2 linked regions of the Lepisosteus oculatus genome follow. The protein of the gene in region 1 binds, or shares a complex with, the protein of each later gene. Links are inferred from orthologs where the notes say so. Each region holds a gene or a part of one and is shown on either strand. Other genes may lie near its edges.

Evidence for each region. The genes of interacting proteins can lie anywhere in the genome.
Region 2: phf20b (region 1) and kansl2 share a complex: the UniProt entries of both Homo sapiens proteins name them as parts of the NSL complex. The link is inferred for Lepisosteus oculatus from reciprocal best matches to the Homo sapiens genes PHF20 and KANSL2.

What each region holds. Positions count from the first base shown.
Region 1 is NC_090711.1:7,201,998-7,209,659, reverse strand, and holds the start of phf20b (PHD finger protein 20b), read left to right. Parts: upstream 1-4,644; 5' UTR 4,645-4,730; intron 4,731-4,804; exon of another isoform or gene 4,805-4,948; intron 4,949-7,662. UniProt on the Homo sapiens protein: Methyllysine-binding protein, component of the MOF histone acetyltransferase protein complex.
Region 2 is NC_090696.1:14,506,873-14,514,446, reverse strand, and holds the start of kansl2 (KAT8 regulatory NSL complex subunit 2), read left to right. Parts: upstream 1-4,574; 5' UTR 4,575-4,584; coding exon 4,585-4,624; intron 4,625-6,360; coding exon 6,361-6,619; intron 6,620-7,574. UniProt on the Homo sapiens protein: Non-catalytic component of the NSL histone acetyltransferase complex, a multiprotein complex that mediates histone H4 acetylation at 'Lys-5'- and 'Lys-8' (H4K5ac and H4K8ac) at transcription start sites and promotes transcription initiation.

The DNA of each region.
Region 1 (7,662 bases):
AAATCCAATGTATTTACTGCTTTTTTATTTATTTCGTAGTTGTCAACATACGTCTTTTCTAACGTGAAGTGCATTTAAAAGAAATATTTTGATAAGTTGACCCCAGACTTTGCAGCCTTTACTAATAAACACTTTCTTTTAGGGAGGAGTTAATATGTTAGTTTATTGGGTTAGGTGTTTTCTTTTAATTTATAACCATGTTCTCGAAAATGTATTGCTTCCAAATTTTCTAAATTACCGCTGGTACAACACGAGAGACAATATTCCCATTTTTGGGTATTAGTTTCAAGATCGATATAATTTAACAATAAAAAAAATTGAAAGCACGAGCATAGTAATATCATGATCATAGACTTTACATTTCTATTAATTTTTGAAGTACAAATCAGAAAGTGTTTCCCCTACCTTAAATATACGATTAAAATTGTTCAAATAAATATTCATTACAGAAAGCAGCGGAGACAGTTATATTGCAAATAGAAAATATATTTATTTCAAAGAGTACGGGACATTGTGAATTAATAAAGACGTTAACAAATAAGCCAATGTAGTTATTTTGCAAATAAGTAAAGCATTTTAAAAATAGATTCTCATTGACAGTAAACAAGCCGATCCAGCAGGCGCTACTAGCTTGAACAGCTCTCAGACCCGTGATTGGCTAAAACTCCCGAACAGTCCGGGCCGCGATTGGGTAAAGAGTGAGAATCGACACTCTGATTGGATAAAGTGCAACAGCGGAAGTTCCTAGAACATGTAGATACACAGGTGATGGATGTTCTTCGCCAAATACTGTAGCCCTGGTTAACCGTGTGTGCTGCATGAGTACGCTGGTTATAGAGTAACACATCCATTGGTTTCCAATTACTAATCAATCTAAGAGAAGTCGCACTGAGGTCAAAACTGAATAGCAGACAAAGAATGTCAAGGCATCCACAGCGCGTTCACGACTCCAATAGCATGTCACAATAGGAGTGCGCGCATCACGATCACATCCTGATACCCACTGCGACTGGCACATCACTGTCATGCCGCCACTTTCATTAAGTCCATATATCGCGATATCACCTACCCCCGACAAAACGCCCACCCCCATGGCGCGACACGGAGTCCACATATCGCGATATGACAAACGTCACCCGCACCAATGTCGCGAGATGAAGCCCTCATATCGCGATATGACATACCCGGCAAAAATGCCCCGCCCCCATATCGCGACATGAAGTCTATATATCGCGATATGAAAAAACCCGTCACGCCCATGTCGCGACATGAAGCCCGCATATCGCGATATGACCTACCGGGCAAAAAATGCCCCGCCCCCATGTCGCGACAGGAAGTCTATATATCGCGATATGAAAAAACTGTCACGCCCATGTCGCGACATGAAAGGCCCTATATCGCGATATGGCATGCCCAGCCAAAACGCCCACCCCCCATGTCGCGACATAGAGTCCATATATTGCGATATGAAAAACCTGTTATGCCCATGTCGTGACATAAAGCCCGAATATCGCGATATGACATACCCCCAACAAAATGCCCTGCCCCCATGTCGCGACATGAAGTCCATATGTTGCGATAGAACATAGCCATGGTCACGTGATCACCGATAAAAACAAGGCGCTATATATCGGGATCGAAAGCAGCAAACGTAGCACTAACGAATGAGACCGTTTTGGTTTCCCTACGACATTGTAGGGGAGCTCAATGACGTCACGACCCCGGAAATAAAAGGTTTTTATATCTCGGAAACGAAAGCAGCAGAGACGCTCCTTTCAACGGCACAAACTGGCACAAACGTAGCACTAACGAATGAGATGGGTTTCATCGTTTGTGCTTTCTGTGTGGGGGGGGCAACTTAACGGAGCTTTCCTAGACAGCTGGAATACTCCCGTTGTCTGAGCGCAGTATTGTGTGAATTAATCTGTTTCAATAGTTGTTTTATGGCTTGAAAATCAATTATGTGAAATTTGGTTATTCCGTAAATAGATTATGTAAGCGGTTTAACCAGACTTTATTCCGAATTGTTCATTTATTATTACTGCACATAGTTACGTTCAATGGTAGGGTTTCGAATAAAACAGGGATACTACCAAGTAAACAAAATGTTGAGACTGCCCTCTGCTGGGATAATTGGAGAGATGCAGAAGTTCTTTTCCACACAGTCTACTGTGCCAGAAATAATCGGGTACAGAAATCAATCGTAATTTGCTAAAACGATAAAGATAATATTTATAAAAAGTTCAAATATATAAGATATAAGACTGAAAAGTGTGGCAACACGTTTAATCATTTAACCTGTTGCAAACTTCACAATTGTTCATCTTTCGAAATATGCTCTCTATATCTTTAAAATTCTGAGGTTATTTTTATGTCTTGTCTGTTGGGTGTGTTAGAATACATTTTGACTTTCAGAAAACATTAGAAACTTTGCTATAAACCCCCTGTATAGTTTATCTTTGGAGTAGATTGAACACGCACTACCTACGTATGTCCTATTGGCATTAACTTCCTCGTTACTGCATGAGTACTGTAATTCAGTTTGTGAAAGTTTAGTTTTTGACATTATGATTCAAGTAAGTAATACAAAACAGCTCCTTCTTATTCTAGAGTAATAACTTCAGCTCATCTCCAAAAGTGGATGGTATGAATAACCTGTAAGTACTATATACATACATTTCACTTTATTATTATATATGCCTCGAGTTTGGTACGTACGGTTTCTGAGTAGAGATGAACACATCTATTTTATCAATAGCGGCTACTAAAATAATGTTCTAATTACTGATAAACTAAAACCACGGTTCAATCTAAATAAATTAAACGTTTTTATTAATACAGAATGGGAGCATGACCTTTCTCTGCTCAAATAGTTCAGTAACTGAAGGATATTTCTCACTCTACCACCTCCTCTCTCACCGTTCAAGGGGAGGAAAAATGTCAGTATAATCTCATTATAATCGTGTCAGCGTGTCAGAGTTGAGCAGGTAATTCTTGGCTGTAGCGAGGAAGAAATTATGCACACTTAATTTAAGATACGTAATAATAATAATTGCTTACACTTATATAGCGCTTTTCTGGACACTCCACTCAAAGCGCTTTACAGGTAATGGGGATCCCCTCCACCACCACCAATGTGCAGAATCCACCTGGATGATGCGACGGCAGCCATAGTGCGCCAGAACGCTCACCACACATCAGCTATCAGTGGAGAGGAGAGCAGAGTAATGAAGCCAATTCATAGTGGGGGATTATTAGGAGGCCATGATAGATAAGGGCCAATGGAAAATTTGGCCAGGACGCCGGGGTTACACCCCTACTTTTTTCCGAGAGATGCCCTGGGATTTTTAATGACCACAGAGAGTCAGGACCTCGGTTTTATGTCAAACCCGAGGGACGGCGCCTGTTTACAGTATAGTGTCCCCGTCACTATACTGGGGCATTAGGACCCACATGTACCGCACGGTGAGCGTCCCCTGCTGGCCCCACTAACACCTCTTCCAGCAGCAACCTTAGTTTTTCCCATCCAGGTACTGACCTGGCTCACACATGCTTAGCTTCAGTGGGCTGCCAGTTGTGAGTGGCTATAATAATTAAGAAATCATGCCAAAATAAATAAAATAAAAAAAGATTACAAATGGACTCAAGCCTTGTGAGAAAAAAACGGCTTATATTAACAAGAACAAAACGTTATATTATGTCTCAAATATCGTGAAGGAACCAATCCAGACAACGTATAAAAATGATTTGTTGCTTAGAATAACTCTAAAGGTATGAGTAACTTTAAAGGTACGAGAGAGGAGGACAAGCATATATGCTACCCATATAATGCGTGTCAGTGAAAAAGTTCTCACGCTATTTCACCTAGGTCACTTTTTACTTCTTTCCCTTAAGCTACATAACATTTTCGTAGTTTTAATTAACCGCATATTTAATAAACTATCGCATTTCATATTACAAAGCGAAATGCGATTACTAGTAAAATATCAGTACTTCTGTGTAATATGAAATGCGAGTTTATTTAGCTTTACCGTTCAGCATTAGTCAATCAAGACCCGTCAAATTAGAAGCCAAATCAACTTAATAATTATCGTTGAAGGCTGCATCGCTTTTAAAGAATTAAGCGCATAAATGCAGGTCAATTCAGTGTAAGCGTAGCCAGGACATCGCTTTAGTGATTTTAAGTGATCTTACACTCGATCGCTGGCGGTAAAACATTTCCATTTAATTTTAGTATGCCCCCCTCTTCCTGGACAGTCTCGCTGAGAAACCCCGGTACCCCCCAAAACCTTAGCCCTGTCAAAGGAAGACCGGATAGAAGCATTTTACCCCGACCAAAACGTGAATATTTTCTTATCCGGGGGAGAACACAAGCTCTCTTTCCATTCGGACGCGCGGCCGAGCGGACGTTAATAAATATTTTTCATGTAACCGTGCACGTATATGTTTCGTGCACGAAATAAACGAACAAAGAGAAGGGAAATTGGGAATAAAACTCGTCACCATTTTAAAGGAACATTCTACACTTCTTGAATCAGAAAGAGCGCCTGGCGCGCCGGCGCAAGCGCAGAAGGCCAGCAGTCGGAGTCTCTCTCTCCGCTCACACACACGCAGGGAAAATAAACTGCGTGGGCAGCCGACACCGAGAGGGTGGCAGTGCGCTAGAGTCTGGGAAGGAGTAGCTAACTGTACATGCATCATCAGCGGGGGATCACGTAAGAAAATACAAGGTAAAGACCGTTCCCACGTCGTAGCGGGGCTAGGGACGACGTTTTGCGTGCGACTCAGCCTTCATCATTGTTTATTTGCCATGTGAAGTGTTTGTGATGCCATGCATCAGGAGGGGGAAAAAAATAAAGTTGCCGCATGTGTCTCCTCGAGAGTGATGCTATCCTCACACTTTGGAGAAAACAGAAAGATTTTGTCCCGTGAAGGGCAGGTTTGGGGGGTATGTAAGGAGTGGCTTTCGCGATGGTTTGTTTTGCAGAGCCGAAGCGTTGATGTAATTTTTTCCCGATGATTCGGGGGGGAAGGTTTTTTTTTTTTCCTCCTGTTTTCTGGGAAGTTAGTCCCCTTCTCAGTTCGTGTAGTAATTACGGCAGACTGATGTGTGCAGGCCGGAGAGGCCCCGGCAAAGTCGGCCGAACGATTGACAAGCGGCTCGTCCAATCAGGCGCCTCGAATCCGCTGCTGTCAGAGCCGGCAGCCAGTAAGCTTCTCTGAAATCGGCAAACGGGCGGAGAGTATCGGCAATGTGGGGTTTTACTTTTCCGTCTTTAAAACACCGAAATCCTGAAAATACTTTGTGTTTCTAAGAGCAACGTCCACCTTGTGCTTAGCGAGGACATGCTTTAGCACGTCCCGCTGGCTTCTCTGTGGAGTCGGAGGTGATATTTTTTTCGTGGTTGGATCCACGTTTTTGTGCACGCAGGAAACAAAACCCAGGCGGTGCTTGCAATAAAACGGTTAATCCAGTATCTTGGGTTGATCCATAAAACAGATCTTGCGGCGCCAGCGGAAGTCTCCCGACTTCGCAAACCGGACGGCACCCCGGTTTTAGAGGGGGGTTCACTCGTCCAGGAGCCCGCGGTAGTGGCATAAACAACGGGCGAGAAACGTATTGCGCGCCATTTGCGTCACTCCGCTCCCGACTTGTGCTCGGCAGCTGCAGTGATTGTCCTCCGGCTCCGCAACTTGAAATGCGAGGCTCCGGGTCAGGGCTCGGTGACACACAGCCTGCCCCACCGTCTTACAACGGCGATTTGCATTAGGGCCGAGGAACACCTCCGGTTTGCAAGCCTGGGGTCACACGTGTGCTCCTGCTTCACATGGCGCATATTGTTCTTTCCTCGGCAGTAGCTTCCCGAGAGGTTGCATCTTCAAGCCGGCAGAGAAGTGAACGCAGCGTCTTGTGTAGCTTCTTTGAAAACCTGGAGCTGACGACCAGTGCCCCCTCCTTTTCTGATTCCCAAATAATACTTTAAAATACAAAAAAAAATAGTATCTCAAAGAGTTACTTTTATTCAGGCTTTTCTACACTGAATATATCAAACGTTCTATGTGTAGCAACAAAACTAACTGCAATGCGATTTTTACGTTTATTGGCTATATTACAATATCAGTATAAAAAGCTAATAATTATTAAAACGAGTAGACAGTTGGAAAGTACACGTGACTGGATGCTCAGATTCTTACTTTAATAATACGGGAGCTGTGCCTTTAACACAGCTACATTTGTCAAACCTGTAGTTTTTAATAGTTGGCTGATAAGGTTGGTTGATAAGTTGAAGGGTTGCACTATCGTTGCTATACTATTGAAGTAATTACTAGTTTTCGACAGTGTTTCTCTTTAATGTTACGTAATGAAAAAGATGAGCAGAAGGTTCCAGATGGGATTGCAGGCTGTCTTGGACTCAAACGGTGTTAAAAATAAGGGAACTTCCCGTGTGGGTTGGTTCGTTCTTCAGTCGATTCACTCCCCTGAGCTGAAATGAAAATGCAAAGCTTTCGTTTTTAGGAAGTTGCCTGCCACCTGCTGTTATTAGATAGGAAGCTCCCCCCCTTTTCCTAAAAGGCAAAGGATAGATGCAGGATATTCTTTTAATGTTAATGTTTCTTTATTAGCCCTATACAATTTCTTGCATTAGGAATTCGTCTTTTCGCATACCCCAGCTTTTCTCCATGGAGACACAGACACACAGACAGGGAGAGAAGCTTGGGGTCAGAGTACAGGATCAGCCATTGTACGGCGCCCCTGGAGCAGTTAGGGTTAAGGGCCTTGCTCAGGGGTGCAGTAGGATTCCTCTGCCGGCTGCGGGATTTGAACCGGCAACCTTCCAGTCACAGGCACAGATCCTTAGCCACAGAGCCACCTCTCCGCCCAATTCATGCCACTGTCGAGGGCGTGTGCATGAGTTTTTTTCAGGTCCAGGACTCCGACTGCTGTTAATTAACAGCAAAGGACGTTTGGAATTGCAGAATCCAATGAAGGATGCAGTGGAATCCATTACTTGTTTATCCGATGCACTTATCCAGTACAGGGTTGTGAGGATGGGGAGGTGAGCTGGAGCCTAGCCCAGCAAGTGAAAGGAGCAAGGCAGGATACACCCTGGGTGGGATGCTTGTCCATCACAGGGCAGATACACATACTCACAACAGGGCCAGTTTTCACAGCGGCCAGTTCACCTACTCGCCGAAATGTAGTGTTTCTTACCTTTCAGCATGGAATGAACTTTCACCTGTTCCTGCATGCTGAATCGGCTCCCTGCTAGAACCCCTTCAAAGTAGAATTGAGCAAAAACCCCTGCTTCCTTCAGCACTGTGTCCCTAATCACCTTTCTGAGATATTGGTTCTTGGTAATTCCTGTTTATAGTGAAGAGTGCCACCTACTGGTCCACAGACAGCTTGCAGTAGCAACCTGGCTTTCCTTGGAGGTCTCCCATCCCAGTACTGACCAAGCCCAGCCTTGCTTAGCTTCCGACATGCAGAACGTCAATCAGTCACCTATAAATTAATCAGGAGACCTTTGAAGGAACTAGTGACGGAAAATAAGCGGCACCACATGAAATTACAGCAATGTAATGAAATAGCGGGTGAGCCCAGGAGAACTTCTGCAGGGTGGTGGAGGAAGAAGGACCGAGACCTGAGCAGAGAAAGACGTC
Region 2 (7,574 bases), on another chromosome or scaffold:
CACCGTGGATGAATCAGTCTATTGCTGAACGGGCTCTTCATTCCTGCAAGCCTGTCATAGAGGGGATGGGAGAAGTTGTCCATGATGGTCTCTAGTTTGGACATCATTCTCCTCTCAGCCACTACCTCCAAGGGGTCCAGGTCAGACCCAATGACAGAGCTTGCTCTCCTGATGAGCTTGTTCAGCTTTTTGGAATCCACTGCTCTAATCCCAGAGCCCCAGCACACCACTGCGTAGAAAATGGCACTCGCTACCACCGACTGATAAAACATGTGCAGCATCTTACTACACACATTGAAGGACCTGAGCCTCCTCAAGAAGTAAAGTCAGCTCTGTCCCTTCTTATAGATGGCCTCGATGTTCTTAGACCATTCCAGTCTATCGTCGATGTGCACTCCCAGGTCCTTGTACGAGTCCACCATCTCCACGCCACTCCCATGGATGTAGACAAGAGTAGGTTTGACCTTTTTCCTCCTGAAATCAACCACCAGTTCCTTTGTCTTTGTTACATTCAGTTCCAAGTAGTTCACCCCACACCACTCCACAAAGCTGCTGACCAGTCCTCTGTACTCCTCCTCCTGCTCACCCTTGATACATCCCACAATTGCAGAGTCATCTGAGAACTTCTGCAGGTGGCATGACTTTGAGTTGCACTTAAAGTCCAAAGTATAGAGGGTGAAGAGGAATGGAGAAAGAACTGTCCCTTGAGGTGCCCCTGTGTTACTCACTACCTGTTCAGACACACAGTTCTGAAGTCTCACAGACTGTGGTCTGCCTGTCAGGTAGTCAGTGATCCACGAGGTCGAGGAGGCTTGCATCTCCTCCAGCTTCCTCCTTAGAAGTAAGGGCTGGATGGTATTGAAGGCACTGGAGAAGTCGAAAAACATGATTCTTACAGTGTTGCCAGCCCTGTCCAGGTGTGAGTAGGCCCTTTGCAGCATGTAGATGATCGCTTCCTCCACACCAACATTGGGCTGGTAGGCAAACTGTAGGGTGTCCAGTGATGAGCTGACCAGGGGTCTCCAGTGGGATAAAACCAGCCTCTCCAGTGTCTTCATGATGTGAGAAGTCAGTGCAACTGGTCTGTAGTCGTTGAGGACAGAGGGGCGCCCTTTCTTTGGTACCGGGACCAGGCATGATGTCTTCCAGAGCGTGAGTTAGTATAAAATGCTATTTCTTATTTTACGCAAGTTTAAAGCCACAGTATTATCATTAGTCCAATAATCATGTGTATTGGCGATATAAAGAACAAAAACTAGCCTGTTCCTATATGTTGATTGTCAAGATTAGTGGGGAGTTTGGTTTGAATACCTACCTCTATTCTTTTCGAGAAACAATTAGGCGTTTTAAAGAAGTCAGAAGCGCTGTTTCATGCGTCAGCTGAAGGAGAGGGCTTTTTTACAGCACAGCGTCCCGTCACTAAACTGGGGCACTGGAATCCACACAGACCGCAGGGTGAGCGCCCCCTACTGGCCCCTATTTTCTTTTACAATTTCAAGTCTGCAAATAATGCATTCTTTCACGATTCTTTTACAAACGTCCGACGCTGACTGCATGATTCATTTAAAACACAGAGGCTTGATCCCCGCCACTCCTTACTCTGTGGTTTTCCTCACTCTCTTCTAAACAACTAGCATTATGGCCAAAACTTGACAACTAGACTTCTAACTCGCACCAAGTCTTGGCAGCATATCACTCCTACACATCAGCCTCTGCTTTCCCATAAAGTTGCATATTTAACATAAGGTCTTGCTAGTTAGAAGAGGAGAAAAGAGACGAAAAGAAACACAACGTTTCAGCTGTGGAGCCTTCTCTGGGTGTCACTTTTCAGCACGGAATAAACCTTTACTGCTTCCTGGTGTCTCTCCTGTTGGGGCAGAGGCGGCTTGCCGGCATGCCCTTTGTGCCAGGGGTGAGGGCCACTGGAGCACGCCCTCGACTGTTGCCCGAAAGCCCTTGGAGAAGGCTGCTATCGGTGGCAGCGCGACCGGGGGCTGAAGCCCTTGGCGGACGCTATTAGCGGGGATATCAACGACAGCAAACATCACCAGGCCACCGAATCCGTCAGAGCCGGTCAGCAGCCGCGTCCGCTGTGCAAAGTATCGGCGGGTCTCCTTGGCAACGGCAAGACAGGTGGGCCCCTGACCGCACTCGGGCTGGACGTTGTATTGCTGTGTGAAGCATCTCGGCAGCCGGCCGTGCCAGAGCGGACAGGTCCCCGCTGGAGGCTGGCGGAAGGAGGGAGTCAGACATGAAGACCTGGTAGGTCTGCGCTGTGGGAGGGGGTGAGCCCGTCGGGGGGGGGCTGCAGAGGACTTGCAGGCCAGTCCCTCTGTGTCTTTTGGACGTAACAGGGGTGAGCAAGAGGAAAGCCATCCAAACCGCCAGAGAGGCGGTTGGAAATAGTTGAAAAAAGGCCTTCGAAACAGATGAAACCCACCACCCATACATTACTGTAGATCCCGTCCCCACCACTTCATTTCAGTGCTGTTTTCACTTCTCTCTGCCCCGTTGTCCTCAATATAATACATGAATCCTTGGGCACTGGTGTTGTACCAGTGGTTCTCAAAACTGCTGCTATCACCCCTGTGCCACAAAATCTAAATCTAAACAATTTTCGCCCCATCTCCAATTTTCCCTTTCTTGCACAAATTCTAGACTGTGCTGTCACATTTTCAATTACATAACCACCTCATTGTTAATAACCTTTTCAGACCCCTCCTATCTGGCTTCCGACAACTTCACACACAGAAGCTGCCCTGGTCAAAGTCACTAACGATCTTCTAATGGCTTCTGATTCTGGCTCTCTTTCTATCCTTATTCTTCTTGACCTCACTGCTGCTTTCAACACTGTTGACCATGACATCTTACTTTCTCGTCTTGACCTGTGTTTGGAGTTTCTGACACTGCTCTTAAATGCTTCAAGTCTTACCTCACTGATCGCTGTCACTTTGTCTCTCTTGGCAGATTTAGGTCTGAAATTGGACTCGTTTAGTCTGGTGTTCCTCAGGGCTCAATACTGGGCCCCTTACTTTTCAGCATTTACATATTTCTGCTTGGTCAGTTTTTAAGATCATTGCCTCAACTATCATTTCTATGCTGACGATACTCAGATCTACGTCCATACCAAACCTCACACTGATGTGGCTGTTTCTGTTCTCTCTAATTGCATCTCTGACCTAAAAACATGGATGGTTCAAAATTTTCTTTTTTTAATCTGTGACAAAGACTGAAGTCATGCTCATTGGCACCCCCCATCAACTTTGTAAAGCCAATGCTGTAACCCTATCTGTGGGTCATACAGTACTTGAGATTCAGTCTAAATTGAAAAACTTTGGGGTGATATTTGATTCAGGTTTGACATTCGACCCACATGTGCAGCATATTGTCAAAACATCTTTCTTTCACCTCAGAAATATCGCTAGACTATGTCTTAAAGCTGATCAACACATTTGTCTTCTCCCTGATCGACTACTGTAATGCTCTACTCGCTGGGGTTTCTAAATCCACATTGAACAAACTCCAGTAAATCCTGACCAGGTTTACTGCAAGTGATCACATTACTCCTATCCTGGAGTCTTTGCACTGGCTTCCTGTCAGGTTTCGTGTCGAATTCAGAATCCCTATGCTCACCTTTAAAGCTCTGCATGGTTTGGCACCTCAATACCTGTCTGAGCTACTGTCGTCCTACTCCCCACCTCACAACCTTCGCTCTTGTCATTCTTGCCTTCTATCTGTCCCCCAAACCAGTCTACAATCTAGGGGTGACAGGGCCGTCTCCTGCTGCACCCCAGAGCTCTGGAATTCCATCCCCAAGGATATCAGAGAGTCACCTTCCCTAAACTCTTTCAAATCCAGACTCCAAACATTCTACTTTAGAATCGGGTTCTGTTCTTTAATAATAATCCCCATCTCTGATCTGGGGTCATCACTCTGCTCTCCTCCCCACTGATAGCTGGTGTGTGGAGAAAATACTGGTTCACTCTGACTGCTGTCACATCATCCAGGTGGGGGCTGCACACTGCTGGTGGTGGAGGGGAGTCCCCATTACCTGCAAAGCTCTTTGAGTGGAGTGTCCAGAAAAGCGCTATATAAGTGTAAGCAATTATTATTATTATTATTATTATAAGTGCAAAAAATGATTCATCATAATAATAATTAGAGGAGTGACCCGTGGGTAACAAAGCCACCTGGACGCAAGCCAGGGCTTGAACAACCTTGGCTGGGTCGCCTGGGCGAGGGTGTCTGATGTTGAAAGACCCCTGGTAGGAATACTGATGATGTGTCCAGGTGCATCAGAGGATGTATTCTTAAATCATTACAACGCTGCAGTCTGTACAAGCACTGCCTTCGCCAGAATCCGAGCTCTTCGGTAGGCTGACCCAAATTGATAAGCGTTAATTTTGACCAATCCCCGGCCGAGCTGTATGTCGATTGGCATGTTGACAAACCAATGACGTGTTTCCAAGGTACTTGTGTCTGGCCAATCCTGGCTCGGTGGGGGGGGTGGCAGCCGGCCGACCGACAGAGGGAGCCGACCGGAGCGGTTAAAGCTCTTCGAGTGGCGGGCGAGGTCGAGGTAAGATGTCTGGTAAACGTGGTGTTGCGACGATGAGCCATACTAGTAATTTTTTTTTTGTTGTTGTTCTGGGTGACTGTGTTGATTATGAAGCGGGTGGGATTATCTTTACTAACAGAAAAGAAAGAGAAGTGTAGCGGGGGTTGGGAGGGGAGATGTTTCGTAGATGTGTTAAGATGGCTGACTCGCGGATTGGAACGAGACAAGGGGAAATAATGTTCGCGTTCAAAACAAGAGGCGCCTTTCAGGCGGGTGTGCAGGCTCCTTAGTGAAATCAGAGTTTGCTTTGCTTCGAGCTAGTTGTATGGTACAAGTGGCTTTGCTTTGTGCCTTTAGACCCATGCGTTATTAAGAAGAGCTGCGGCTGAAACGTGTCTAGGCGCTGTAAATGTTTTTATAACATGTCGGTGCATTTTGAAAAGATCGCAAACAAAGATCAAGGCGTAAGATATCACAGAAGTCTCTCAGCGGGTGCAAAGATCCCCCCTCCACTCAGTAGGTTTCTTAAATTGTCGCGCCTGGCTTCCTCCGTGCGCGCTTCTCTGAAACGGGCGAGCACGCCTGGTCAGTCGAAGGGATGGGGCACGACTTGCGCCCACGATACAACAGCTTTTAACTTCTGGTGCATAGATGACGATTTCGGCATACGCAATCAGATGCTGTAGTGTTGTCGACGTGTTTTAAAGGTAGCTAGGAAAACATTGTATTTTTTTATCAGTTAGGGAGAAATGCACGTGTTCTTTGGCAGCCATTCATTAAATACTCGTATCCATCTTTTAGAGACTTATTCTCTCTCTTTCTCGGCCGGTATCAGTTGCAGTCGAGAGATCGCCTTGTCTTGAAAGGCACCTGGTGTGTTCAGTGGCCCTGACCAGCTGCCCCCCCACACTCTGATATTGAACATGTTCTTAACGAAGCACGAGGGCGGGGGGGTTGCCATAGGAGGTCATGTACACGTGAAGCGACTTGTCTGCAGCAGTATCAGTACTGAAGAAGACGGTCTTGGATAGGACCCTGTTGAAAATGGGGGGAAAAAAAGTTTTGAAGAATTTAAAATTGGTGTAGAGAAGCTCTGGAAGGCTGAGTGTTGAAGTTTGCAAGTCATCCCCCCCCTGCCCCCCTGTGTGACTCAGTCCTGCTCTAGCACTCATCCAGGAGGACATGGTTTGCACAGATATTTGCCAAAAAGCAGATTGGAGTGGCTATATGGTAATAACTCTTCACACTTATACAGTGCTTTCCTAGACACTCCAGTCAAAGATCGTTACAGGTCGTGGAGACTCCCCTCACCCACCTGGATGATGCAACGTCAGCCAGAGTGCGCCAGTACACTCGCCACACACCAGTTATCAGTTTGGAGGAGAAAAGACAGATGAAGCCGGTTCATAATTGCAGCTCTGTAACTGTGTGATGCTGATTACTGTGTTCAGGCACTGGCTGGGAGTGTTGAGTAATTAGTTTTGTGACTGTAGGACACTGACCACTGTGCTCAGAGCTTGCTGGTAGCCATGAGTTTGTAATTCCTTACGCTTATTTTTTTTTCTGGACACTGCACTCAAAGCGCTTTGCAGGTAATGGGGAATCCCACTCCCACCACCAATGTGCAGCCCCTCCTGGATGATGTGACAGCAGCCAGAGGGCACCAGTACTCTCCCCACACACCAGCTCTCAGTGGGGAGGAGAGCAGAGTAATGAAGCCAGTTCATAGATGGGGTTATTGGGAGGTGCTGAGCAGGGGCTGTGAGCTCCAGCTGTATTTATCCCTGTGTTCTCTCCCCCAGGCCTGGGCATGAACCGAATCCGCATCCACGTGCTGCCGTCCAGCCGGGGGCGTGTGACCCCCCAGGCCCGGGCGCAGGAGTCCCATTCCTGCTCCTTCTCCCCCCGGCCGTGCTCCCAGCCGCGCCTGGAGGGCCTGGAGTACTGCCTCAAGCACGTGCTGGAGGACAAGAGCGCCCCCTACAGGCAGTGCAGCTACGTCTCCAGCAAGAACGGCAGGCGGTGCCCCAGCGCAGCCCCCAAACCTGAAAAGAAGGACGGGTGAGTCCCCCTCCGTCTCCTGGATAGGAGCCACGCCCTGCTGCCCTTTCCTGGGTTCGGGGGGGTGCGCTTGGCAATTCACACCCTCACCCTCAAGCTAAGGGCAAGTGTGATGCGTCCCTCATCGTCGGATACGCATGTGTCGCTTCGACTCGCAGAGGGTGCAGAAGAACGAGAGTTTGGTGATGCCTCTTTCTTTGAGGTTGTCCTGCTATCAGGTCCCCTCATAGTCGTCTCTCTTCGAGACTTAAAGGTTTGGATTCTGTAGCTCATCAAAATCATCTTTTTTCACAAACCAATCCTCTGGGCTGCTAGGAATTATTTGTGGTGTCAACGTACTTGAAATAACAGATACAAACATATGAGCAGTTTCAAGAAAAAAATAATTATAAATAACACATAATGTATGCAAAATAAAACCTGATGCTACATGGCTGTGAAGATAGAATCCACACATTTACTAATAAATAATTTTATAACAGGTGAGCCAAGACACAGAATGGCTTCATCCCTGTCGGTGTAGGACATTTCCTTAAGCCCTGGAATGTATCTGACCCTGCAGTGTTCTAAATGAGGACTTGCAAATGATTTGTACAACTTTAATGTATAAAGGGATGCTATTAATTGTGCTTAAAACTGTTTTTTAATGTGTTTTCCTTTTTGCTTCTTCCTCACATTGTGTAGAAGATTGATGCATCAACAGACACACCCAAGCCATTTTCACAAGTAGACTCTTCAAATTCAGGGTTTCCAATTTTTATTTATAGTTTATTTTGCTGCCTTTGTAGTATTCTTCACTTGTCTCCATCAGCTGATGTCAAAGTGTTCGCTCTTGATTTCTGAATCTTTAGCAGTTTCCTTTGTAGCTTCTGCAGGCTTTGCTAGTCCTCCTATTTGGTATCATCTGCAAACTAGACTGGTTTACTAACTACACCATAATGTAATATAAGTTAGT